Linked DNA regions of Caenorhabditis elegans. The protein of the gene in region 1 interacts with the protein of each later gene in a pairwise test. Each region holds a gene or a part of one and is shown in the gene's direction. Other genes may lie near its edges. The genes, in order: magu-2, F10C1.1, rme-2 and emc-2.

Region 1 (6,234 bases):
GAGGAAAGTTATTTGAAGGTCTCGTTGACTTTACTTTTCTTAATTTAATCTAATCTATGCAATTTCTCTAGGATAACTGCCAAAAATAATTTTCATGTGAATATTTCATTTATGTAAAAACACTTTTGTTTGAGTTTGACTTTCTTATTGCTATTTTGACTTCCTGTAAAACTTGCTGAATATAAAATTGCAGCAGGTTGACTATAAATTTTGATACTGTAAAAAAGTTTTCTTCCATTGACTCATATACATTCTATGAACGTTATTATTTTCAAACATAAAATCCTTACAATCTCAAAGTATTTTCCACACAAAATTTTAAACCAAAAGTATTTCAAGAGAAATACAAGAAATTCGGTAAGTTTTTAAAAGTGTCGCTAGTTCTCTAGAGATTGAACAAAATGCGTACGGTTCAAAATTTTTTCAAAATTGATTAAGCGAATTAGTTTTCCTATTTAGTTTAAATGGTTATATTTTGAAATTTTAATATGTTTTAGAATTTCAAAAAACTGTTTGCATAATTTCCGCATAAAATCATAGTTTCTCGACAAACGTTTTGTGAAGATTATCAACGATGGACGTTTATGTTTTTCACAATATCTTCTCACAACTTATTCTCAAAATCCATATTTGTTTTTTGCATTCTATACAAAATAAAATATGCCCATCAAACTCGAAACTAGCCTAAAAATGACTGAGATCCGAGAGGCGGGTGAAAAAAGTTTTTTTTTTTTAAGTTACGAACTTTAACCATAATAGTAGTGTTATTTGTCTTGGTTTTTTTTCAAAGCTACGAGAGTCACAATAGAAGATCGGCGTAATTTGTCTCAGAGAAAATTACAAGACGACATGTTGAAGATAGATGAGCTGATCAATGAAATCAGCACTAATCAGCTGGCTATTCTCTATCTTATAGCTTGTTCTTTCTATGCGGCCTGCGTCTCTTCAAATCCCTGCGGGTCGAATGTCACAATTCACCATCTCCTTTTCTCTTTCTTGCTCCATGTGCTTCTTTCTGTCCCCAGACTGGACCTTCTTGTGCTCTCCCACCCACACCGCCATCTTCCTTTCTCTCTTTGCCCCATCCTCGACTATCTGTATCTTCTTCGTTCTCACTTTTTATACTCGAGACTCTGTGGAAAAAGACACAGAAGACACACCAATGGCGTCAAAAATCTTTTTTTTTAGTTTCCCTCTGCCGGACACGATGCACATAGTTTCGGTGCGATTCTCTCAAGAGGATCCCCCATAATTATTTGTCACTCTAAATCTCAAGCTCTCTCATCCAGTTTTCATTCCCAATCTATCCATCTCCCTGTCACACTGAACTAGTGGAATGAATGTCAATATCATCAATCTGGACCACTGTTTTCATCTGTCTCGTTCAATTTTTTATCCCCGGGAAAAGCTATTATTTAGTGCTTCATTCCGTGTGTCTTGAGCTCATGGATACTTTGAAGACCTCATCTTTTTTGATTGAACAAACGTGACAAGACAATTTTATGAATTCTTAGAGAGTGTGTGTAATTTTAATTGCTTGCAGCATGCTTGACAGCTGCACTTACTGTTTTCCTTGAAATACGCAAACTTTCACTGATATGCCTAATTTTAGAAGTGTATTTTTGAAATTCAAAGGAAAAACTTAAAATTTACTTTCAAAATCTTTAAAGTAGCTGTTTTTATCAATCTAGAAAATGTCACTACAGATAAAAATATTGTATTGATATGTGGAGTCTTTTAATTGTGCTTTTCGTGAGTCAATAATTAAGATTGCATTTTTAATTTGGCAACAATTTAGAAATTTGTTATCTGGCAAATATGTTCTATGATACCGTAACTTTCTCAGATAACTTTAAGATTATTTTTTTGTCCATAACCTCTGTTCTCAACTTTAAGACATACAGTACCCCTTATACACAGCTCCCTTTTTTTGTTATTTTGAATTTTCTCTTCAACTATTCCCATTTTTGTCGGTCTTTTTCCAATTTACCCCAAAAAGTCCATCTCATCAAAAGCGCTTCAAGTCTTTTAGTTCTTATCCCCCATTCCTCTTTAAGCTCTTGAAACACAAAAAACAATTGCAGAAGAAAAGAAAAAAAGCAATTAACTAAGAAAGTGCACTCATCACAACTCTTCTTCTCGGTTCTTTTTCTGTCTCAATTATTCACGCAACAACGCTTACATGAAGTAGCAGTTTTTCGAGTGATTCTGACATTTCTATTCATTTGTTTCAAGTTTATGATTATTTTTAGATCCAAGTTTTGAGCAGATCCCGGAATCCTAGCATTCATCATTCAAAATGAAAACCACGAGATTTCAAAACAACTTTTTTCATTTCACCTACTCATAAATTCCATTCCGATTCAGTTATTGCTTTATTTTCAGAAATTTGGATTCTCATTTTCTTATTTTCGCTTTCGTTGGAAATAATATTCCCAAAAAATTTTCAGCCTTCATCTAGTGGCTCGAGTATCAAATGTCCAAGTCGGTGTCGATACCACAGGCACTGTCCGACTTGAAAAGGACATCCTTGAGACGGTTGAGCAGTGCACGTGGTGTTGGAAATAAGAAGACCGTTGTGAGCACTTCGACGCCGTTGAGTGGTTTTGTAATTTTGGTTGAACGAGAAGAGAAGGTTGTTCGGCTGTACGGTAAGTAAAAGATAATTTTATTTGACTAATTTATAAAAACATTTTGAAGTATTTTTATTGAAATAATTTGCAATTTTGATGAATTTTTACTGAAATTTTGTCAACGAACATTTGTACTAATGCGATTCTCCAAATCGTTGATGGCATCGGCAAAGTGGGCGTTTTTTTAACCTATATCGCAATTTTTTTCGCTTTTTTCAAGGTGTCTGGAAATCAGATATAAAGTGCTTTACAAATTTTATGCAGACTTCTGAAAAAATAATCGATTTCCATTACAGGAACTGCTGCGGAAAGAGCAGGATTGAGCATTGGAGATGAAATCGTTGGGGTAAATGACATGAAAATAGAAGGAAAAAGTTATGAGGAAGTCACAACTTATATTCAAGAAGTTTGATAAAATTTATGATACTTTCTTGCAAAATTTCAAATTTCAGTGTATTCGTCGAAAAATCATTCAGCTGAAAGTTAGACGTCGTGCATTAGAAATTCCAGCAGAAAATGAAGCTTCTGTTTTTAACTGTGAGTAAAAAAAAGTTTATACTTTTTCCTTTTTAATACTTAGTTTTTGTTTAATTTCAGGCACAAATTCGAATCGTATGATAACGGATGCATATCTAGTTTCCGTGGATAAGGATCATATCAAGGAAGTTACTAAACGGCTGAAAAAGTGAGTAATCTTTTTTTGAGAGAGATTTTCTTCTCTGCGATACTATCTGTGAGAAGCGGAACGTGTAAAGAACGGAAAGAAGAGTTCTTAAGTGCTCTCTATTTATGGTATATGCATAAACAGTGAATATATGACAAATAGTGCAAATACCACTAAGATTTGGTTTTTGGCAAATCAATGTTCTTGAAAAGTTCTCATATTTATTTCATTTCACTTAAAAAATTCATCTCTCTTCATTTTCTTTAAAATCTTTGTTGTTCACTCGTCGACCTGCTTTCTAGAAATTAATTAATGGCCTCGAAACTTTCTGACGGGCAGGGAAACACAAAAACACTGAGATTATGAATGTGAGCTAATTTGGAATTCTCGTTCGTCCAGTCTTCACAACTATATAGGTCACATTCTAGTATTTCACACAGTTAGTCGGCACGTCTAGTATGTCACAAACCAATAATCTGTCAAGGTGAAGACAAAAAATGGAGAAAAAAAAAGAGAAAAAACGGAGAGTTCCGTCGTCAAATATATCAATAAATCTAGTGATTAATCAGTCAACCTGGCGATTCTTTTTTATGTCTCCCTGATATTCTATTTCACAGTCAGTGGCATTTTCAAGTAATAGAACCTCCCATTGCGCTTATCACACTCATTCTCTCTTTCTCATTCCTTTTTTCTTATTCTTTCATCAACTTTTTAAATGTTTCTGTCTCATTACACTATTTATCAAAAAACTATCATCACTCAAATTCTGTGTTCTCTTCGTTTCGAAGGTTGTCTGACTTGTGATAATTGCAGGTTGTTAGGGTTTCAGAACGTTACAGTTCTTTATTACAATTTACTACGCTTTTGAGATTTTTTGTATGTTCACAGTTAGCTAAACTCTTGCCTAGCTTTGGAATAACATGTTACTTTCAATTTATTGATTCTTGTATGTTTTGAAAAGCAATGACTTTTAGCACCCTTTTAGCACGACTGAAACTATCAGAAAAAGATTTTATACAGCTGCAGCTAAAATTTCAACACACTTTTTCAAAGGAAATGTTCTGCAAAACTTTAATTCAATCGTCAAAAATTGAATAAGGAGCAACGACTGCCGTTCTCTCAAATTACAAAGAGTCACAGAATTTTATTTTCGGGGGAATACCTTTCCAAAAATGGGTGAAAGGTCATAACGAATACATCAAACTCCAACACATTAGACACACATTGTTATTTATTGACATAAACCATTTATTGCTTTCCATTCGTCTCCTCACTTTTCCTTGTCGACAATTGTCAATTGCACCGTTCTTTCCAAACCCAAAAATTTAACAAATAATTATTGAATCCGTTTACACTTTCTTTTTTTCCATTCAACCCTAACCGTTCCTCTTTTTGTCATCATTGTGCAAATTTCATGCATCATAAATTTTTGAGGACGGTACGGTTTTTGTGTAGTTGTGGATCGGTTAACTGTTTGGTGATGGACACAGTTATCGCGACTTTAACAAAATTTTGCTTTTATATTTGTTATCAAGTGGCAAATTATTTTAAGTTATCATTATCAGTGGAGCAGAAGATATTTTATTACTTTTCTAATGTTTCGAAAATTTCAAGGAGTATAGGAATAATTTGCAATTTTTGGAAATATATTGGGTTCGAATTCTAGAAATTAGTCTGTATAATTTAAATATTGTTGATTCAAAAATTATTTTTTCAGCTACTATATGTAATATTCATTTTTAGAACCTTTCATTTTCTTAGTGTTTTGCTACTTTCCCGATATGTCTCATCATTGCTTAAAAATATTTATACATCATAGCCACCACCTTCTAAATCGTGGTTTTCATAAATATGTATTTGTATACATCTTTTCCCCAATAGGAAGGGATGCGCAAACGGGACCTCAAATGTAAAGCTGGTGATGAGCAAACATAAAAGTAGAAGAAGCGCGCACGAAAGATGATGAAGATGCAATACGGACTGTGTGTGAACAACTACAATACCGTCTATTGTTTCGACCCTCACTCACTCTCACCTTCCTCTTTTCCCTCAACCTGCACCACTTTGTATACAATTGTCATGAAGAGAGTCAGGCTGAATGGGGAATTATTCTAGGACTAGATTTGGTTGATGTTGGGTGACCAGCATGGTTTTCCACATTTTCATCTTCATAATGATTTTTGGAAGAGAAAATCAAAACCAACATTATGATCGAATGTTCTTCAAATTGTTTTGGTAACACCTCTTACCACACTTCGTAATAATAATAAGTACGTGTCAAGTTGTTTAGTCACAAAACCGAGTATGTCAATTTTTCAATCCAAACTGCAAACATTCAGTTTTGATTTTTTACAAAGTCTGGGTTCTCCTCAAATTTTACTTTTAAACTTTTTGATTTTCAAAAAATTGAAACTCAACTACATTTTTTTTTTTCTTATTAGACCACTCTTTTGAAAATGAATTGAGCCTCTAATTAGATTCACTCCATAAGTGGAATGCATTCAATAAATATAACTTGGGATTTAACAATTTATATTTCGTTTGGTTTAAAATACGTCAGCTCTTGTTGGAAAAATGAGACTTTACTTTTTTGTATTTTATTCCAATAAACATGTTAGTGAGAAGCACTCCGATACAAAAACTAATTTATTGATCTCTTTTGAAATCTGAGAACATTCGAACTTTAGCGAACGGGAAAAATGGTGTGGAGCAAATATTTAGGTTTTGGATTTTTTGTTGTTTTTTAGATGTCAGATTATATAATAGCTTTTGGTATCTTTTACATATATTTGCAACTTGCTGTTCAATTTAAAAACAGATCGTTGGGACATTATATTTAAATATACACCCGTACTAATATCAAACTATAGATTTTTTAGACTGAAGTTTGAGAAAATATCTAACGTATTCTTAATTAGAACCTATGTAGTCATATAT
Region 2 (3,998 bases), on another chromosome or scaffold:
TGAGAGGTCTCATTATGAAATTTAATCGTTTCGGGTTAGTCTAAGGGTTTCTCGCATTTGCTGAGAAACTAATCTACATAATTTCGAAAAGAGAATATTCCAATTCCAATAAATTTCCAGATCTACGCCCGTGACCAAGGAGGCATCAACAACCCACCAGAGTCTCTTGTCTTCGATGGAGAGAACACCTGGGGAATCGGAGCCAATGTTGTGACGTCATTGGTGAACAAGGATGGAGAGGAGCGTGCAACACACACCCAGAAGACCATCCAATCCGGACAATAAGCTCTCATTATTTTTAAACAACTTTTTCTCTTTTAAACAACTCCCCAAAATCACTCAAGTTCTCTAGTTTCTGTCCATAATTTTCTTATTATTCTTGATGATAGACCTTCTCGACATTTTTTCTTTAAATTGATTCATTGAAACTGCCTAAAACTGACCAAAATATTGAATTGATTTGCTTAAGACTCTTCACTTAAAATCGCTAATCTGAAATTCATTTTAAAAAACATCAAAAAAAGAACAAAAACGTTTGCAATTCTTTTCATAATACACTGCTTTTCCCGTTCAAACTTCAAGTGTTTCCCCCCGCTCATTTTCCACCGAAAAATCTTTCTATTCAATGTTTTCTACTTCTTTTTCAATTTTAATAAGATTTTTTATTCAGTTTAGTTTTTTTTAATTGAAGACAAATCATAAATACAATTTTAAATGTGACCATATAAAAATATACAAAGTATTGGAACTCTGATTCTGACGATAAGAAAAAATATTCAATTTCTCAAAATGTTTTATCATTTTCTCGGTATTCTTCTTCGGCTTCCTCATTTTTCATTAAACGATGACTGTAATCCAATGGAGCAGTTTGTGGGAAAATTGTGCTCGGTGATGACGTGGCAATTGTTGGCTGGGCTGAGAAGAACGCTGGTGGAGCTGCGAGGCTCGCAGCAGATGCGAAATCTGACATTGATGGAGTTCCGAAGAAATGCGGCATCACTGAAAACACTGAAAATAAGTTTAATTTACGAAATAATATTGAATAAGCTCTCTTACTCGGAAATCTCATGAATGGTCTTCCATACACAGGATTGAACATTGGCATTGAAGAGTATCCATTTGGTTTGAAAACTGGACTTGTTGGAATCACTGAGCCACTGGTATTTGGTGTTGATTCAGATGAGAGCTCAGGTGGGGAAGAAGTGCTTACAACAGTTTCAGAACCTGTTGGAGAGCTTGGTGAACTCCGTTGTCCCTGTGAGTCTTCGTATTTTTCTTCTGAAAGGTAGTGCAAGGTTAGTTAAGGTTAATCTTTTAAATGAGAGCAATTGACTTGTAAAGTGCTAATCTAGATTAATCCCATCAATATTGTGAATAGCTTATCCCTCTCAAATGCATCTGCTTCTCGTAAAGCTTACAGTGCTCTCTAGCTAATTGACTTACGCAACCAGGTACGGGGATTATGGAGATGGGGTAAAAGTGCACCTGTTTCCGAATACGCAAAAAGTTTAGCACGAGTGGGGTTCGAACCCACGAGGTGTTATCCACCATTGGAACTTAAGTCCAACGCCTTAACCACTCGGCCATCGTGCTGGCCATTCGACGCGGCGCTCCGTAGCCTTCACATTACTGCGGGAAGAAGAGAGCGCACTCTCATTTCTCTGTCTCGAACAGGCTGTCATGTCGACTCACCAGTATTATTATTGTTGTTGGTCGTCGGAGAAGCGTGGTTTTTCCCGTGATGTTCACCGGCATCGAGACGAAGAATATCGAGGAGATCATTCGCTAAAAAATAGAAATTAAATAAAAAGTTAGCGTGTTATTCTATAAAAAAAGAGAACAATGTGTCATTGTAGAAGGTGTGTGAGCATACAAAGATGACCCTAATGAACTATTAGTATTGTAACAAGTATAGGTCATATTAGTGTCAGGTTACCCAATAGTTAGTCTAGCACCTCGAGCACAGCGGGAAGCTTGTTCAAGACACAACTTGAATGAAAAATGACCGGAAATACTTGATCGGGAAAAACACATGCACTGATTCAGCACCAGCATTCCACAGCTTAATCCCCGAATATTTAAATAAGCTGACTTACCATTTCCAGCAGAACCCAGAAGTACTTCCAAATCTCTTGCGTCTCTTTCTTCCTGAGATTGCTGACGACGAAGAGCAACCTGAGCAGCCATAACTCGTTGTCTTTCGGCAATTAATGTGCACTTTGCACACATACAATCCTTCCATTGACAGTAACGTTTGTGACCTGGAAAGTTTATGGAATATTACATTTAAATTCTAGATTTTCCACGAGAGCACAAATCACGCAAAGATGGCAAGATCGGTGATGTGTTTCCAAAAATTGAAAGTTCTTATAGAGCAACTTATTTTATGGTTTTAACAGAAGCCGGAGCATCGAGTGTTATTGTCCCCTTATATTTTGAAGTAAGCTTTACTGGAACTATTACATGCACTTGAAAAAAATTTTGTACTTCGATTAAGGATTAAACAAAATGATTTTTCTGGTAGTCTTGCTTAATTTGACAGCTTGAATCTCGGTTTTTATTTTTTATTCTATGAGACTGATGAATATGGTTAATTGTTTTGATGGAATATTAAAATACGAACCTTTCAATGCAGAAGTAGTTCCGTGATTCCGACATCTCGCGCATTTCGGAGTCCTTTGATTCCTCTCTGCACGAATTCGAAGAATCTGTTCGAGGCTAGTTGGCGGTAGCACAGATACTGACGACGGAGAAACAGGCATTCTGTTTAAAATATTTTGTTGTGAATAAGGTGAAATGTTATAATATCAGAATGAGAGGTAATGGTTCCCAAAAGGAATGCTCAAGTCCCACCCCTTTTGCTCTTCGATCAGTGCTCGCGCGGACCACCAACCGGAAGAAGCTCCACCCTTTGTGAAGAGGGTGTCGGGGAAAGAGGGGTTACTGTAGGATCAAATGAAACAGATATATCCAGAGATAGTAGTAGAAGGAAAAGAAAAAATAAGAGACTGTGAGAAAACATTGAGTAATTTGGTAATAATCAAGTGGGTGTATAACAAGGCACTATATTTAGGAATGTTGAAAATATACGGTAATCAAATAGTTTTAAATCGAAAAAAACTGGATAAACTGCTCTTTGCTTAATCGCCTATAACTCGACAGTATGTCGCAACGTTTCAACCAACTTTAGCAAGTTATCGCAAAAGTTGCAAAAGTTAGGTAAAGCTGGTTAAATTTTGGATGATCCCAAAAATGAGCACTGAAAAACTACCGAAAGTTGGCTAAACTTGGTTAAAAGCTTCTAGCCTTTCTTGAGAAGGTGTGGCGAGTTTCTGATAGTGAGTAGGGACTATCAAATCAAATAAGCCACTTGACCTGCATTTTGTTTTAGGCCATGGTTGCCATATTTCAAAATTCCGGAGTTGAAAAATGGTGACGCTTGGAGATATGCATTTTCAAAAACTGTACCCACAAAACATTGAAACTTTAATTTTGTTCAAAAAATGTGAACACATTCCTATCCTGCTGCAAGTAGCGCAACTTCTCTCAAGATTTGAATGGAAGTTATGGAATCAATATCATCACCATATGCCAAATCACGAGCCATCAATCACCTGCCAACCACCACAACAAGAAATTCTTAGAATAAAATTGAAAGTGTTTTCAATAAAGTTTACATCTTACTAGATTCGCGTACACACCAATTTTAGAGGCTGCAATTTGAAATCGTGTGCTCTCTAAACATCAGAATAATTACAAGTTTGCCACAAAAGCATCGGGCCTAACCGCGTAATAATCACAAGGTATCATGACAAATAACTAGTAGAGATTGAGATGCTAATTTAAATTACCGCAAAACGTATTAAAGAGGCTAAGGAAGGGTATGCTAACAACAATAATCATAACATATGGAGAAGAGTGTTGGTTGTGGACACCCCCTTGTAATTAGAATTTGCGAATGCAAAAGCTCATGCTTGTGTTTTGATTGGATTTCGGCA
Region 3 (6,661 bases), on another chromosome or scaffold:
AAAAGTCGAAGCAGCATGGTAACAATAAGAAGACAAAAACTAAGTCAACTAGTGGATCTTTGTCGGTGGATAAGTCAAAAGAGTCGGAAAAGATGTTGGTAGTCAGAAAAAATGATTCAAGAACGGCAAATTACAAGGAAAAAGCACCGGAAGCTGTGAAAGACCATGAGATTCCAAATGCAAATCGAAGTGAGTTGAAATTGCGTTCAAAATAATAGGAAATTGACAACAAGATTAGGAAACTTTTGGAAAGTTTTGGAAAGTTTTGGAAAATTCTAGAAATCTCTGGAAAGTTTTGGGAACATAAGATAACTTTGAAAAGTTCCAGAAATACTCAGAATCTTCTGGGAGCATCTAGAAAATTTTCGGAAGCTTCTTCAAAAATCTGAAAGCTTTTGGAATCTTTTGAAACATTTTTCCCGTCGAAAAAAATCAACTGCAAACATTGAAATCCACGTGAAAGCAAAACTATTTAGAGAAATATAAAAATTAAATTCTAAAATGTTTCCACGTGAAAATTCCAACAAAAAAATCATGCTTGCCTGTTCATATACCTTCAGTTAGTCACTAAAATGCCAGACATCTTCGTACCTACCTGAAAATCCTAAGTCCTAATACCTACAAAATTTCCCGTTTCAGTTCCCGGAACCACACGGCTCAACGAGCCGAAAAACATCGAGGTCACGAATCACGAGGTGGATGATAAGACGACGGAGCGAGTCTATAAGAAGTTGAGGGAAAAGAAGAAGTCGACGGCAAAAGCGAAGCCAATCGATGCGAAGAGCAAGCTTCTGTTGGATCGAGTGCCGAAAAAACCATATCGATTGAAGCATAAGCCCGATGGTATGATGTTATGCGACGAGCCATCCACTTTCTACAAAACCAACAATCCGAAGAAGAAAGTTGAGACCTCTTTACTTCCCGTTGAGGATTCTTATGATCACGTTCGAAAATTGGAGGACATTAAGAAGGAGCCAGAGCAAGATGTGTACAAGGGTCAGGACGTCCCCACCTGGGCAGTAAATATAGAACCGACTGACGAGGACATGGTGAGTGAACTTTTTTTTTGAAAGTTCAAGTAAAAATTTATTTGCAGAAAGAGACCGACGAGGCGATCACGGTGAATACTGATCATTCGGAGATGTACCGTAACAAGAAGCTCAGTCTGAAAAGCATTCCCCCACGAAGCTTGTGCTCAACGAGCTACAACCGTTGGTGGAGTTGAAGAAGAGAGATGAAGTTCACTTTGAGACCAGGCTGGTGTTCTCCAACACGATTAGGAGTCTGTTGCTTGTCCATGAGAGTGCTCGAGCGCTGAGTGACGGAAAAGTGGATGATGAGTTTTCCGACAAGAAGGTGTCGTTTGATACACCGGAAGCTACATACATCTACTCGGTGAGATATTCCTGGCCGGGGTACAGCTAATTGAAAGTTTTCAGCGAATCAACCCAATCGAATCGGTCAAAGCGGCTCGTTCTGGAAATTGACACGCCAGCACTTCTACCACCAATACAACCATATCGAATTGGAACTGAACTTGATTTTGTTTTGCTTTTATCGATAAAGTGTATGTTCAGGGCTTACTTTTGAGAATTTTACTTATTTTAAAAAGGAAATGCGAGCAACAAAGTGAAAAATGTATGTCTGATTTTGAAATGCTCATTTCCTTTGAGGTTTCCATTTTTGAGTTGCCCGTAATTTGTATTTTTCTGAAGATGAGCAATTCAATTTTTAAATTGCCCGCACCTCTACCGTTTCCATCGTGTATTTTGTTAAAATATTCACAGATTAACCCATTTACCGTTTCATCCACCTGTTTTTCCTCGAAAAGATTCCAATGTTCTATAATTCTACAAAACTTCCCACGCGAGAAACAACTGTAATAAACTGAATATATTATCTATCGCATCGTTTTCAACCAGAATTAAGCAAGAGTTTCCACAACTTTAAACACCAACAACGCAATCCTAAATCATTTGCAAGATTTTATTTCAGATGCTACACTTTCTGCCTGAAAAAAATTCTGAAAAGCCGAACAATAATTCATGGTAACAATGAATGGCAGATACATCAAAGTTTTAGATGAACAATTTTTATGTATTAAATGTACATTTAAAAACAAATTGCACAACGATTCTACTACTGTCGCACTAATTTTACGTATGTCTGTACTTGAAGATTTCGAATTAATTTGTTCAATATTGTGTTAAAATGTTTGATTTATACACTCAAATCTTTAAAAGATTTATTGGAAAACATAAATGGTTAATTTAAACCAAAAATTTCCATCAAGCCTTTTCTGAAAACACTAAAATTATTTTCGTGGTGGGACCAGGCGCGCGCGTCCCATGATGTTCCTTTAATCAAAATGCATTTCTGTCCCGGCGGGAGAAATTGAATTTTCATTTTAAGGCGCGAATTTTTGCCTAAAAACGATGCCATTCTTTCATTCTTTTCATAATCTCACTCACCATGAGAACCATGCGCCTTGCTTGGTTGCTCCCACTTTTTATTCACATACTAATCAAGGTAATTTCCCCGTTTTTCTAGTTTTTTCAATGTATTTTCATGTTTCAGAACACAGCTCAAGCTCCGGCTGTCAACAACTCGACATGCGATCAAGCAAAGGAATTTGATTGCGGGAACGGGAGACTCCGATGCATTCCCGCGGAGTGGCAATGCGACAACGTAGCGGACTGCGACAACGGAAGAGACGAATCGGGCTGCTCATATGCGCATCATTGTTCGACAAGCTTCATGTTATGCAAGAATGGACTGTGTGTCGCAAATGAGTTCAAATGCGACGGCGAAGACGACTGCCGCGATGGAAGCGATGAGCAGCATTGCGAGTACAATATCCTGAAGTCTCGCTTCGATGGTTCCAATCCTTCGGCTCCTACCACTTTCGTTGGTCACAATGGCCCAGAATGCCATCCTCCTCGTTTACGATGCCGATCAGGACAATGTATTCAACCAGATCTCGTTTGTGATGGACATACGGATTGTTCTGGAGGAGATGATGAGGTCAACTGCACCAGAAGGGGACATGAAAATATGCAGTCCTCGACTGATTTTCACGATGATGTTCATCTTGTCGATCCAACCTTTTTCGCTAATGAAGACAATAAGGTAATTGTTTAATGTTTATTAATACCGTTTTAACTTTTATTTTTCAGTGTCGGAGTGGATACACAATGTGCCATAGCGGAGACGTCTGCATACCTGACAGTTTTCTTTGTGACGGCGATCTAGATTGTGATGATGCTTCGGACGAGAAAAACTGCCAAACTAATGCTCCAAGCGAAGAAGAATATCTTTCTGGGCAAGCCGATCACATGCATTCGTGCTCAGCAGCAGGAATGTATTCTTGTGGAACAAAAGGATCCGAAATTGGCGTTTGTATTCCGATGAATGCCACGTGTAATGGGATCAAGGAGTGTCCACTAGGAGATGACGAGTCAAAACATTGCTCCGAATGTGCCAGAAAGCGATGTGACCACACATGTATGAACACTCCACACGGGGCTCGCTGCATTTGTCAAGAAGGATATAAGCTTGCCGATGACGGACTCACTTGCGAGGATGAAGATGAGTGTGCAACTCATGGGCACTTGTGCCAGCATTTCTGTGAAGATCGTTTGGGTTCCTTTGCATGCAAATGTGCCAACGGTTATGAGCTTGAAACGGATGGGCATTCTTGTAAATACGAGACAACCACTACGCCAGAAGGATATTTGTTCATCAGTCTTGGTGGAGAAGTTCGACAGATGCCATTGGCAGATTTCACCGATGGTTCAAATTACTCGCCGATTCAAAAGTTTGCTGGCCACGGAACCATCAGATCGATCGACTTCATGCATCGCAACAACAAAATGTTCATGTCAATTTCTGATGAGCACGGTGATCCAACTGGCGAATTGTCAGTGTCCGACAATGGATTGATGAGAGTTCTTCGAGAAAATGTCATTGGAGTGAGCAACGTGGCAGTCGACTGGATTGGTGGAAACGTTTTCTTCACACAAAAATGTATGTTTATCTAATGTTTAAATTTTTCATTTGTGATTCTTACAGCTCCATCTCCAAGCGCTGGGATTTCCATCTGCACAATGAGCGGAATGTTCTGTCGCCGAGTTATCGAAGGCAAAGAACAAGGACAATCCTATCGTGGTCTTGTTGTTCACCCGATGCGCGGTCTCATCATCTGGATCGATTCTTATCAGAAATATCATCGCATCATGATGGCTAATATGGATGGGTCTCAGGTGAGTCGTCGAGTCGATCTGATTTAGTTCATTTCTAAATAAATTTCAGGTCAGAATCCTTCTCGACAACAAGTTGGAAGTTCCATCAGCTCTTGCCATCGACTACATCCGCCACGATGTCTATTTTGGAGATGTTGAACGTCAGTTGATCGAAAGAGTCAATATCGACACGAAAGAGCGCCGCGTAGTGATTTCGAACGGAGTTCATCATCCGTATGACATGGCTTACTTCAATGGTTTCCTATACTGGGCAGATTGGTAAGACATCTTATCTAATTTATATTTTCAAATTTATTTTTCAGGGGAAGCGAGTCATTAAAGGTTCAAGAGATGACCCATCATCATTCGAGTCCTCAAGTCATCCATACTTTCAATCGTTATCCATATGGTATTGCTGTCAATCACTCACTCTACCAGACTGGTCCTCCATCAAACCCATGCCTTGAACTCGAGTGCCCATGGCTCTGCGTTATTGTGCCAAAGAGCGATTTCATTATGACTGCCAAGTGTGTCTGCCCAGACGGATACACTCATTCCGTCACTGAAAACTCTTGCATCCCGCCTGTGACGATTGAGGACGAGGAGAACCTTGAGAAGCTTTCCCACATTGGATCTGCTTTGATGGCCGAATACTGCGAAGCTGGTGTCGCGTGTATGAATGGAGGAGCCTGCCGTGAACTACAAAATGAGCACGGAAGAGCTCATCGCATCGTTTGTGATTGTGAGGGTCCATATGACGGGCAATACTGCGAACGGCTCAATCCAGAGAAGTTCTCCGCAATGGAAGAGGAAGATTCGTCCTTATGGCTTATCGTTCTGCTTCTCATTTTTCTCATCATCGTTGCGGTAGTCGGAATTATTGCCTTCCTTTGGTTTTCTCAACAAGAGCATATGAAAGATGTGATTTCCACTGCCCGTGTCCGTGTTGATAACATGGCTAGAAAAGCGGAAGATGCTGCAGCTCCAATTGTCGAGAAGTTCCGCAAGGTCACTGATAAGCAGAGGAGCACGCCTCCTAGAGAAGGTTGTCAAACGGCAACAAACGTTGACTTCGTTTCCTACGAGACAAATGCTGAGAAAAGAATTCGGATGGACTCTTCGCCGGTGAGATCTTTTTTTAGATATTTTTTATATAAAAATTGATTAATTTCAGACGTCATACGGAAACCCCATGTACGATGAAGTTCCTGAATCGTCAACTGGTTTCGTCAGATCGGCTTCCGCACCATTCGCTGGAGTCATTCGATTTGAGAACGACAGCTTGTTGTGAATTCTACTACAAAATTACTAAATCAGATGTCTGTAAAGTATATCTATTTTTGCCTATTTATTGCATGAAAGTTGATAATGTCTACTAGTACTGTTGTTTTATACTCTTTAAATGACAATCGAGATGTGAAACACATTTCTATTTCTAATAGTTTTATTAGAAACTTGTTACATCACTGTTTAGAACACGGATAGACGGCGTCAAGAAAGAACAACAAAATCATTTGGAAGTGATTATTAAATAAGCGGAAATTATTTTTAACCATTGAAAGATGGGTATTTCTACATTCGTGGTTCAGATTCGGAACTTTGTGATTTTTGCATAAATAATACGGCGCTAGGTCTTGGCACGATAATTTTTTTTAATTGGAAACAGACGGTGTGCGCCTTTGAGAACTACTGTAACTTCAAACTTCCGTTGCAGATTTTTCGTCGATTTTTCATAGTGTTTCTCATGGTTTGTTAAAATTTATTTCTTTTTATTGTTTTAATTTTTTTAAATATTAAAAAATCTTATCGAAAAACTAAATATAAAGAATCGATTAAAATTCCGCAGCAGTCAAAGTTTGAAATTACAGTACTCGGCAACCATTTTGTAGTTACCAAAAAAGCGTGTCGAGACCGGACACCGTATTCTTGCGCAAAATTTCGCGTCTCGGCAATCATTCCGCACAAAAAATTCTGCTAATTTTGAAATGTTTCAAAAAATATTTTCAGTTTCAAAATTTATTGAAATTTAAAATACACAAGAAACTTTTGGAACGTTGAAAAAATTGTTCAGCCTTTTTTATATATTCAATTTTTCGATTTTTTTTTGTTGATATTTTCCAGTTTTCGGAATAAAAACTTCGAAAACTTCTTCCACTTTTCAGAAGTGTCTGCTTTTAGGTAAGAAAAAAGTTCATTTAATATAAAAAATACATCTTCTAGTTATTCAGCAGCAAAAATAGTTTGTATTAAACTTCCCGGTTGTGATGAAATTATTTCTAAGCTTCTGATAACTGGATGAAAAAGTGAAATAGAAGAAATCGGTTCAACATTTTTGAAAGTCAAAAACTAATTTATTCGAGTAGTATTCATACTAAATGATTCAAGTTCCTTTTGGTTTTTTCTTGGATGCAGGGACTACA
Region 4 (7,150 bases), on another chromosome or scaffold:
GTTCAATTTTACGGCGATCGGAGGAAATTTGCCGACTGCTCCGGCGCTTATGGTGTGCCAAAAAACTAGAAATAGCCTTGAAAAGCCGAAATTCGTGATGAAAATTTGAAAATTTCCGAGAAAAATTGCTAAATTAAGCTGAAATTCCTCAAATTTGCCGATTTGGTTTTGTAGAAATTGGGTCTGCTAGACTACAAACTACAAATTTCGATTTAGCAGACCAATGTGATTTTGATAAGATTGGGTCTGCTGGACTACAAACTACAAAATTTGATTTAGCAGACCAAAGTGGTTTTGAAGAGATTTGGTCTGCTAGGCTACAAACTACAAGTTTTGATTTAGCAGACCCAATTCTATGGGTCTGCTAGACTACAAACTACAATTTTCAATTTAGCAGACCCAAGTAGTTTTAAATAAATTTGGTCTGCTAGACTACAAACTACAAGTTTCGATTTAGCAGACCCAAGTAGTTTTGAAGAAATTGGGTCTGCTAGGCTACAAACTACAAGTTTCGATTTAGCAGACCCAAGTAGTTTTGAAGAAATTTGGTCTGCTAGACTACAAACTACAAGTTTCGATTTAGCAGACCCAAGTAGTTTTGAAGAAATTGGGTCTGCTAGGCTACAAACTACAAGTTTCGATTTAGCAGACCCAAAATGCTGAGATTTCAGGCAATTTTTTTGGAATTTTTAACTTTTTTTTTTGAGAAATCTATGAAATTCGCGATTTTAATGCCATTTTCCCCTCGAAAAAAAAATCATTTTTATCCCAATTTTTTCAGGGTAACGTCTCCCTCTGGAAGCCATCGAACACCGCCGTGCTCTCCAATTATATAATCTACGAACTCCTCGAGGAAGCTGGTATGCCACCTGGAATTCTCTCATTCTTGCCATCAGATGGCCCCGTTTTCGGTGACGTCATCACCGCATCTCCACACTTGAGCGCTGTCAATTTCACTGGCTCCGTGCCAACTTTCAAGACGATTTGGAGAAAAGTCGCCGAGAATTTGGATAACTATGTGACTTTTCCGAAACTCATCGGAGAATGCGGCGGAAAAAACTTCCACTTTGTGCATCCATCCGCCCACGTGGACGCTGTCGCCGCTGGAACCGCCCGTTCCGCCTGGGAATATTCGGGACAAAAGTGCTCGGCGTGCTCCAGGATGTACGCGCCAAAATCGATTTGGCCAAAGATTCTCGAGAAAATCTCGGCGATTCACAAAGAGATCAAGCTTGGAGATGTAGGCCACTGTTTGGCTTGCCGATTTTTGTGTAGTTTGTAGTTTACAGGTTCGCGATGGATCCGTCTTTCTGTCGGCTGTGATCGATGATAAGGCGTTTGCCAGGCTCAAGGCCTACATTGACTTTGCGAAAACCGGAGCCGACGGAGCAAATGTGGTGCTCGGCGGAAAATGTGACGACAAAACGGGATACTTCATCGAGCCGACCCTGATCACTGTGACGGATCCGAAGAGCAAGCTTCTCACTGAGGAAATGTTCGGACCGGTGGTGACGGTACTGGTCTACGAGGATTCGAAGGTTGATGAGGTGCTCGCGACTGTGAAAGACGCGACACCTTATGGGCTGACTGGCGCCGTTTTTTCGCAGGATAAGGAGTTCCTTTATAGGTTGGCAACTACAAAAAATACAAGTTTTTGCACAGGTTTTCAGGGACTCAAAAATTTTATCTAAAAACCCAGCGGAAAGAAGAAAAACTCGAATTTTCGGGTTTGTTATGTTCAAAAATGCTGAAATTCAACATTTTAGGCACAAGAAAACTGCCAAAAGTCGATTTAAAATTATTCCCGGAAAATTCGAAATCTTGAAATTCTGTTTTTTCGGCAATTTTCAAGAAATTTCTCTATAACCGAACAAAATAGGTTAAAAAATGTCGAAAAACGATAATTACACAATTTCTCCAATAAAAACCCTCGAATTTCGTCACAAATCAAATGAAAAGCTAGAAAAACTGGCAAAAATCGAAAAAAAAAAGCGATAACAACAAACAAAAAATTTGAAAGCGACAGTAAGATGTTCCTGAGCGTGGCGAGACCCAACAGTGAAAGTGTGTGTCCCTTTAAAGGGCTACGGTATTTTTTATTGGAATTTTTGTTGGATTTCGATCGATTTTTCGAGATTTTTGAGGCGAATTTTTGTGTTAAAAACGTTTTTCAACAAAGTGTTTTTTTTTCTCAGAGCTCGCGATGTTCTCCGCGACGCCGTCGGCAACATGTACCTCAACGACAAATCAACTGGATCAATCGTCGGCCAGCAGCCATTCGGAGGCTCCAGATTGTCCGGAACCAATGATAAGGCCGGTGGCCCCCACTATGGGCTCCGATGGACCTCGCCGCTGACGATTAAGGAGACGTCGGTGTCATTGACTGACTGGAAATATCCATCAATGGAATAATTATGTTGTTTTTTTCTTTTCATTTCCGATTTTTCTCATATTGAGAATATAGTTTTCTTTTTGATTAGGTCAACAATTATTGCTTTACCACTGAATTTTAATTTTTTTTCCCCCGTGATCGCATAATAAATTTTGTTTTTTTTCCTTTTTTCCAGCTATAACCGTTTATTTTATAGTTTTCTCGCTATTTTTATACCTTCCAACCGAACTTTTCCATTAAAAAGTTGGAAAAAATCAATATTTTTCAGAAATTTCCCTCCCGAAAATGGTTGAAACCGAGTGGACGCAAGTCTCTTACGATGGTAACATTCTACAATATTCAAATTTTGAAAAAAAAATCGATAAATGCTTGCAGAAGGACGTCAAGCGCTGAAAAAGTGGCGAGAATGCGGAGTTCGACGAAGTGATGAGGTCGTCGAAATTTGGGAGCACGTTATTTCACGCTCACCGGCTTCTCTTGGAGACGAGCAATGGGCTGTGTTGGAGCAGGTGCTGAAATTTTGTCGAAAAACGCTGAAAATCCTGAAAATCTGGCTTTGAATAGAAAAAAACCATAGATTTTCTGGTTTTTTTGGTGAAAAGCATATTGGTCTGCTAGACTACAAACTACAGTATTATATTTAGCAGACCCACGCTTTTTTCTAAGTTATCACGTTTCTGGTTGATTAATAGTGAAAATAATACAAATTTCGGCGAAAAACTGGAAAAAATCAATAAAAACGGTCATTTTTTACTGAAAAAATGATTATTTTCGAGAAAAAATTCAATAATTTGGGTCTGCTAGACTACAAACTACAAATTCATATTTAGCAGACCCAAGTGGTTTCGATGAAATTTGGTCTGCTAGGCTACAAACTACAAATTCATATTTAGCAGACCAATGTAGTTTTGAGGAGATTTGGTCTGCTAGACTACAAACTACAAGCTTCGATTTAGCATACCCATACTCATTTTTCACGAGAAAATCGAATTTTCACCTAATTTTTCCAATTTTTTTCAGGTGTGCATCGCAGCACTCGACGCGGCTCGTGTCGATCTGGCTCAGGATTGCATTGACCAACTTCACGCACAATTTCCGAAGAGTAATCGAGTTTTGAAGCTGAAAGCGATGCAGTTGGAATCTACGGAACATTATCAGAAGGCGTTGGATATTTATGAGCGACTGGTTGAGGATGAGCCCAATAATAATGTAAAAAATTCAGGAAATTTTTTTTTTGCAAAATTTCTAATAATTTGAATTTTCAGAGCTTCCGCAAGCGAAAAGTCGCGGTTCTTCTCGCTCAGGGAAAGCGTCTCGACGCAATTCGAGCTATCAACGATTACCTGAAGGTTTTCATTTGATTTCTAGAAAAAAAAAACTCTAAAATTTATTAATTTTCAGATTTTCCTGAACGACCCAGAAGCTTGGCTTCAGCTCAGCGAGCTTTTCCTGCTCGAAAATGACGTGGCAAAGGCGGTACATTGCCTGGAGGAGTGTGTGCTCATTTCGCCGCTGAATTCCATGTATTTCAGACGATTAGCCGATTTGAGATATACTCAAGTATGTGTGTGGAAAATTGGAGAAATTTGGGCCTGCTGGGGGCTACAAACTACAATTCATATTTAGCAGACCCAAATACATTTTCAATGGAAATTGGTTTTTTCTCGTTTTTCTACTTTTTTTTTTGAAGAAAAAAAATCGAAAATTGTCAGTTTTCCGTCAAAAAAATGTCAGAAAAACAAATTTTCAACGAAAATATATTATTTTAATGCAAAAAATGAAGAAATTTTTAAAAAATATAGAGAAATTACCGAAAATGATTGAAAATTGATTTTTTTTAAGGAAAACTAAAAAAAATTGAACGGTCTGCTACAATGCAAACTACAAAGTACAATGTTCGATTTAGCAGACCCAAGTGATTTTGAAAAAATTGGTCTGCTGGACTACAAACTACAAGTTTCGATTTAGCAGACCCAAGTGATTTCAATTCGAAATTGGTCTGCTAGACTACAAACTACAATGTTCGATTTAGCAGACCCAAGTGATTTTGAAAAAAATTGGTCTGCTAGACTAAAAACTACAATGTTCGATTTAGCAGACCCAAGTGATTTTGAAAAAAATTGGTCTGCTAGACTACAAACTACAATGTTCGATTTAGCAGACCCAAGTGATTTTGAAAAACTTGGTCTGCTGGACTACAAACTACAAGTTTCGATTTAGCAGACCCAAGTGATTTTGAAAAAATTGGTCTGCTGGACTACAAACTACATATTCATATTTGGCAGACCCAAGTGATTTTGAAAAAAATTGGTCTGCTAGACTACAAACTACAATGTTCGATTTAGCAGACCCAAGTGATTTTGAAAAACTTGGTCTGCTGGACTACAAACTACAAATTTCGATTTAGCAGACCCATGTGATTTTGAAGAAATTCGGTCTGCTAGACTACAAACTACATATTCATATTTGGCAGACCCAAGTGATTTTGAAAAAAATTGGTCTGCTAGACTACAAACTACAATGTTCGATTTAGCAGACCCAAGTGATTTCAATTCGAAATTGGTCTGCTAGACTAAAAACTACAATGTTCGATTTAGCAGACCCAAGTGATTTTGAAAAAAATTGGTCTGCTAGACTACAAACTACAATGTTCGATTTAGCAGACCCAAGTGATTTCAATTCGAAATTGGTCTGCTAGACTAAAAACTACAATGTTCGATTTAGCAGACCCAAGTGATTTTGAAAAAAATTGGTCTGCTAGACTACAAACTACAATGTTCGATTTAGCAGACCCAAGTGATTTCAATTCGAAATTGGTCTGCTAGACTAAAAACTACAATGTTCGATTTAGCAGACCCAAGTGATTTTGAAAAAAATTGGTCTGCTAAACTACAAACTACAATGTTCGATTTAGCAGACCCAAGTGATTTCAATTCGAAATTGGTCTGCTAGACTAAAAACTACAATGTTCGATTTAGCAGACCCAAGTGATTTTGAAAAAAATTGGTCTGCTAGACTACAAACTACAATGTTCGATTTAGCAGACCCAAGTGATTTCAATTCGAAATTGGTCTGCTAGACTAAAAACTACAATGTTCGATTTAGCAGACCCAAGTGATTTTGAAAAACTTGGTCTGCTGGACTACAAACTACAAATTTCGATTTAGCAGACCCATGTGATTTTGAAAAAATTGGTCTGCTGGACTACAAACTACATATTCATATTTGGCAGACCCAAACTATATTTTTTGCAGGGAGGCGCCGAAAACGTGGAATTGGCTCGTTCCTACTACGAACGTGCGCTCAAAATCAACCCAACCGATTTGAGATCTCAATACGGAATTCTATTGGTAAGTGTAGTTTGTAGTTTGTAGTTTGTAGTTTGTAGTCTATATTAATGTTTCAGAGCAACAATTTGATCGCGGCGACCACCAAAAATGCGACGGAAAAGAAGAAAGCCGGAGCTGCAGCAGTTGATGCAATCGATAATTTGGTTAATCGTTATCAGAAGGTAGATTTTGATAAAATTAATAGTTTTTAATTGGAAAAAGCTCTAAAAACTCCAAAAAATGCCGAATTTCGGCTGTTTTTTCTTGAATTTTTTGAAAAAAAAATTCGAAAAAAATCGTGATTTTTCTAAAAATAACCTTAAAAAATTCCAGATAAGTCCAAAAAGCAATCCAGAATCGGACGGAATTCTCAATTGCCTCGAAGCCATGAAAGTCACTGTTGGAAGCAAATAAATTGTCAATTTCCTCCCAAAAAATGATATGCTTTACGTACATTCCCCCGAATATTCGATTATTTCCTATTTATTTTCTGTTAAAATTCAATTTTTTTAATGTCTATCGAAAGTATATTTATCGAAAAAAAGAACTCCTCAAGAATAAATAAATGTGATGATTTTTGCCACCGTTTTTGCTCCATTTTAGAGTCTTGGGTCTGCTAAATAGCTTTTTGTAGTTTGTAGTCTGGCAGACCAATTTTTGATAGCAATTTTTAGACTAAAAACTACTTTTTTCTTGAAAATCTTGAATTTTTGCGTTATTTCACATCTATTCCGGTTTTTCCGGCTCCTTTTTGGCGCTGAAATCGATAAGTTGGGTTACTGTAGCCTCAGAAGTACGCAAACACCATGCGACTCACGCAAAAATGCACAGAAACCTGAAAGATGCGCGAAAAAAGCCATACATGGGTAAAAATTTGTGTAGAATTCAATTTTTGTGTCAGAATCGTTTAAAAAATCAGTGAAAAATGATAATTTTCAGAAATGTTGAGCCAAAAAAAAATTATTGATTTTTGTGCATTATCAGTTTTAAATTTGGATTTTTATGTTTTTTCACCCATACGAGACTTTTTCGACTCCATTCGAGTTGTAATAAAAATTTCCGGGTTACTGTAGCCTCAAAAGTACGCAAACATGGAACACTTTACGCAAAAGTGCAGAGAATTCTAAAATTTGCGGAAAAAAGCTGCATAAGGGTAAAAATGTGTGTAGAATTCAATTTTTGATATCAGAATCGATAATAATCAGCGGAAAGTACACAATTTTCGTGCTACAAACTACAAAATCCAATTTTCTCGAATTTTTCCGTAGAATTCCGTATTTTAGTTCCTGAAACTCCCCTAAGAAACAGAGAAAAAGCAAAAAGAGCTCCCTCTTAAGAGGTGCTAATTTGTATAAAAAAGAAAAACAAATTAGCGCGGGGGGGGGGGGGCCTAAAAGGGGCGCTAATTAGCAATTTTGGTCCCCGTCTT

What was found.
Region 2: the proteins of magu-2 (region 1) and F10C1.1 interact in a two-hybrid assay, tested with the Caenorhabditis elegans proteins (one large-scale study listed by BioGRID).
Region 3: the proteins of magu-2 (region 1) and rme-2 interact in a two-hybrid assay, tested with the Caenorhabditis elegans proteins (one large-scale study listed by BioGRID).
Region 4: the proteins of magu-2 (region 1) and emc-2 interact in a two-hybrid assay, tested with the Caenorhabditis elegans proteins (one large-scale study listed by BioGRID).

The regions. Positions count from the first base shown.
Region 1 is NC_003283.11:8,797,239-8,803,472, reverse strand, and holds the start of magu-2 (MAGUK p55 subfamily member 5), read left to right. Parts: upstream 1-2,444; 5' UTR 2,445-2,476; coding exon 2,477-2,651; intron 2,652-2,929; coding exon 2,930-3,039; intron 3,040-3,085; coding exon 3,086-3,170; intron 3,171-3,230; coding exon 3,231-3,318; intron 3,319-6,234.
Region 2 is NC_003280.10:5,771,407-5,775,404, forward strand, and holds F10C1.1 (uncharacterized protein), read left to right. Parts: upstream 1-2,822; coding exon 2,823-3,014; downstream 3,015-3,998. Other genes in the region: Intermediate filament protein ifb-1, read left to right, coding at 121-285; Doublesex- and mab-3-related transcription factor dmd-5, read right to left, coding at 785-1,008, 1,057-1,278, 1,693-1,785, 2,097-2,261, 2,624-2,762.
Region 3 is NC_003282.8:5,467,557-5,474,217, forward strand, and holds rme-2 (EGF-like domain-containing protein), read left to right. Parts: upstream 1-2,470; 5' UTR 2,471-2,472; coding exon 2,473-2,529; intron 2,530-2,577; coding exon 2,578-3,129; intron 3,130-3,176; coding exon 3,177-4,026; intron 4,027-4,071; coding exon 4,072-4,262; intron 4,263-4,311; coding exon 4,312-4,520; intron 4,521-4,564; coding exon 4,565-5,366; intron 5,367-5,415; coding exon 5,416-5,532; 3' UTR 5,533-5,618; downstream 5,619-6,661. Other genes in the region: T11F8.4 (non-specific serine/threonine protein kinase), read right to left, coding at 6,622-6,661.
Region 4 is NC_003280.10:1,301,647-1,308,796, reverse strand, and holds emc-2 (ER membrane protein complex subunit 2), read left to right. Parts: upstream 1-2,660; 5' UTR 2,661-2,677; coding exon 2,678-2,714; intron 2,715-2,767; coding exon 2,768-2,901; intron 2,902-3,245; exon of another isoform or gene 3,246-3,296; intron 3,297-3,412; coding exon 3,413-3,601; intron 3,602-3,657; coding exon 3,658-3,741; intron 3,742-3,793; coding exon 3,794-3,952; intron 3,953-5,646; coding exon 5,647-5,742; intron 5,743-5,798; coding exon 5,799-5,903; intron 5,904-6,054; coding exon 6,055-6,135; 3' UTR 6,136-6,298; downstream 6,299-7,150. Other genes in the region: alh-6 (L-glutamate gamma-semialdehyde dehydrogenase), read left to right, coding at 1-52, 782-1,240, 1,290-1,627, 2,196-2,412.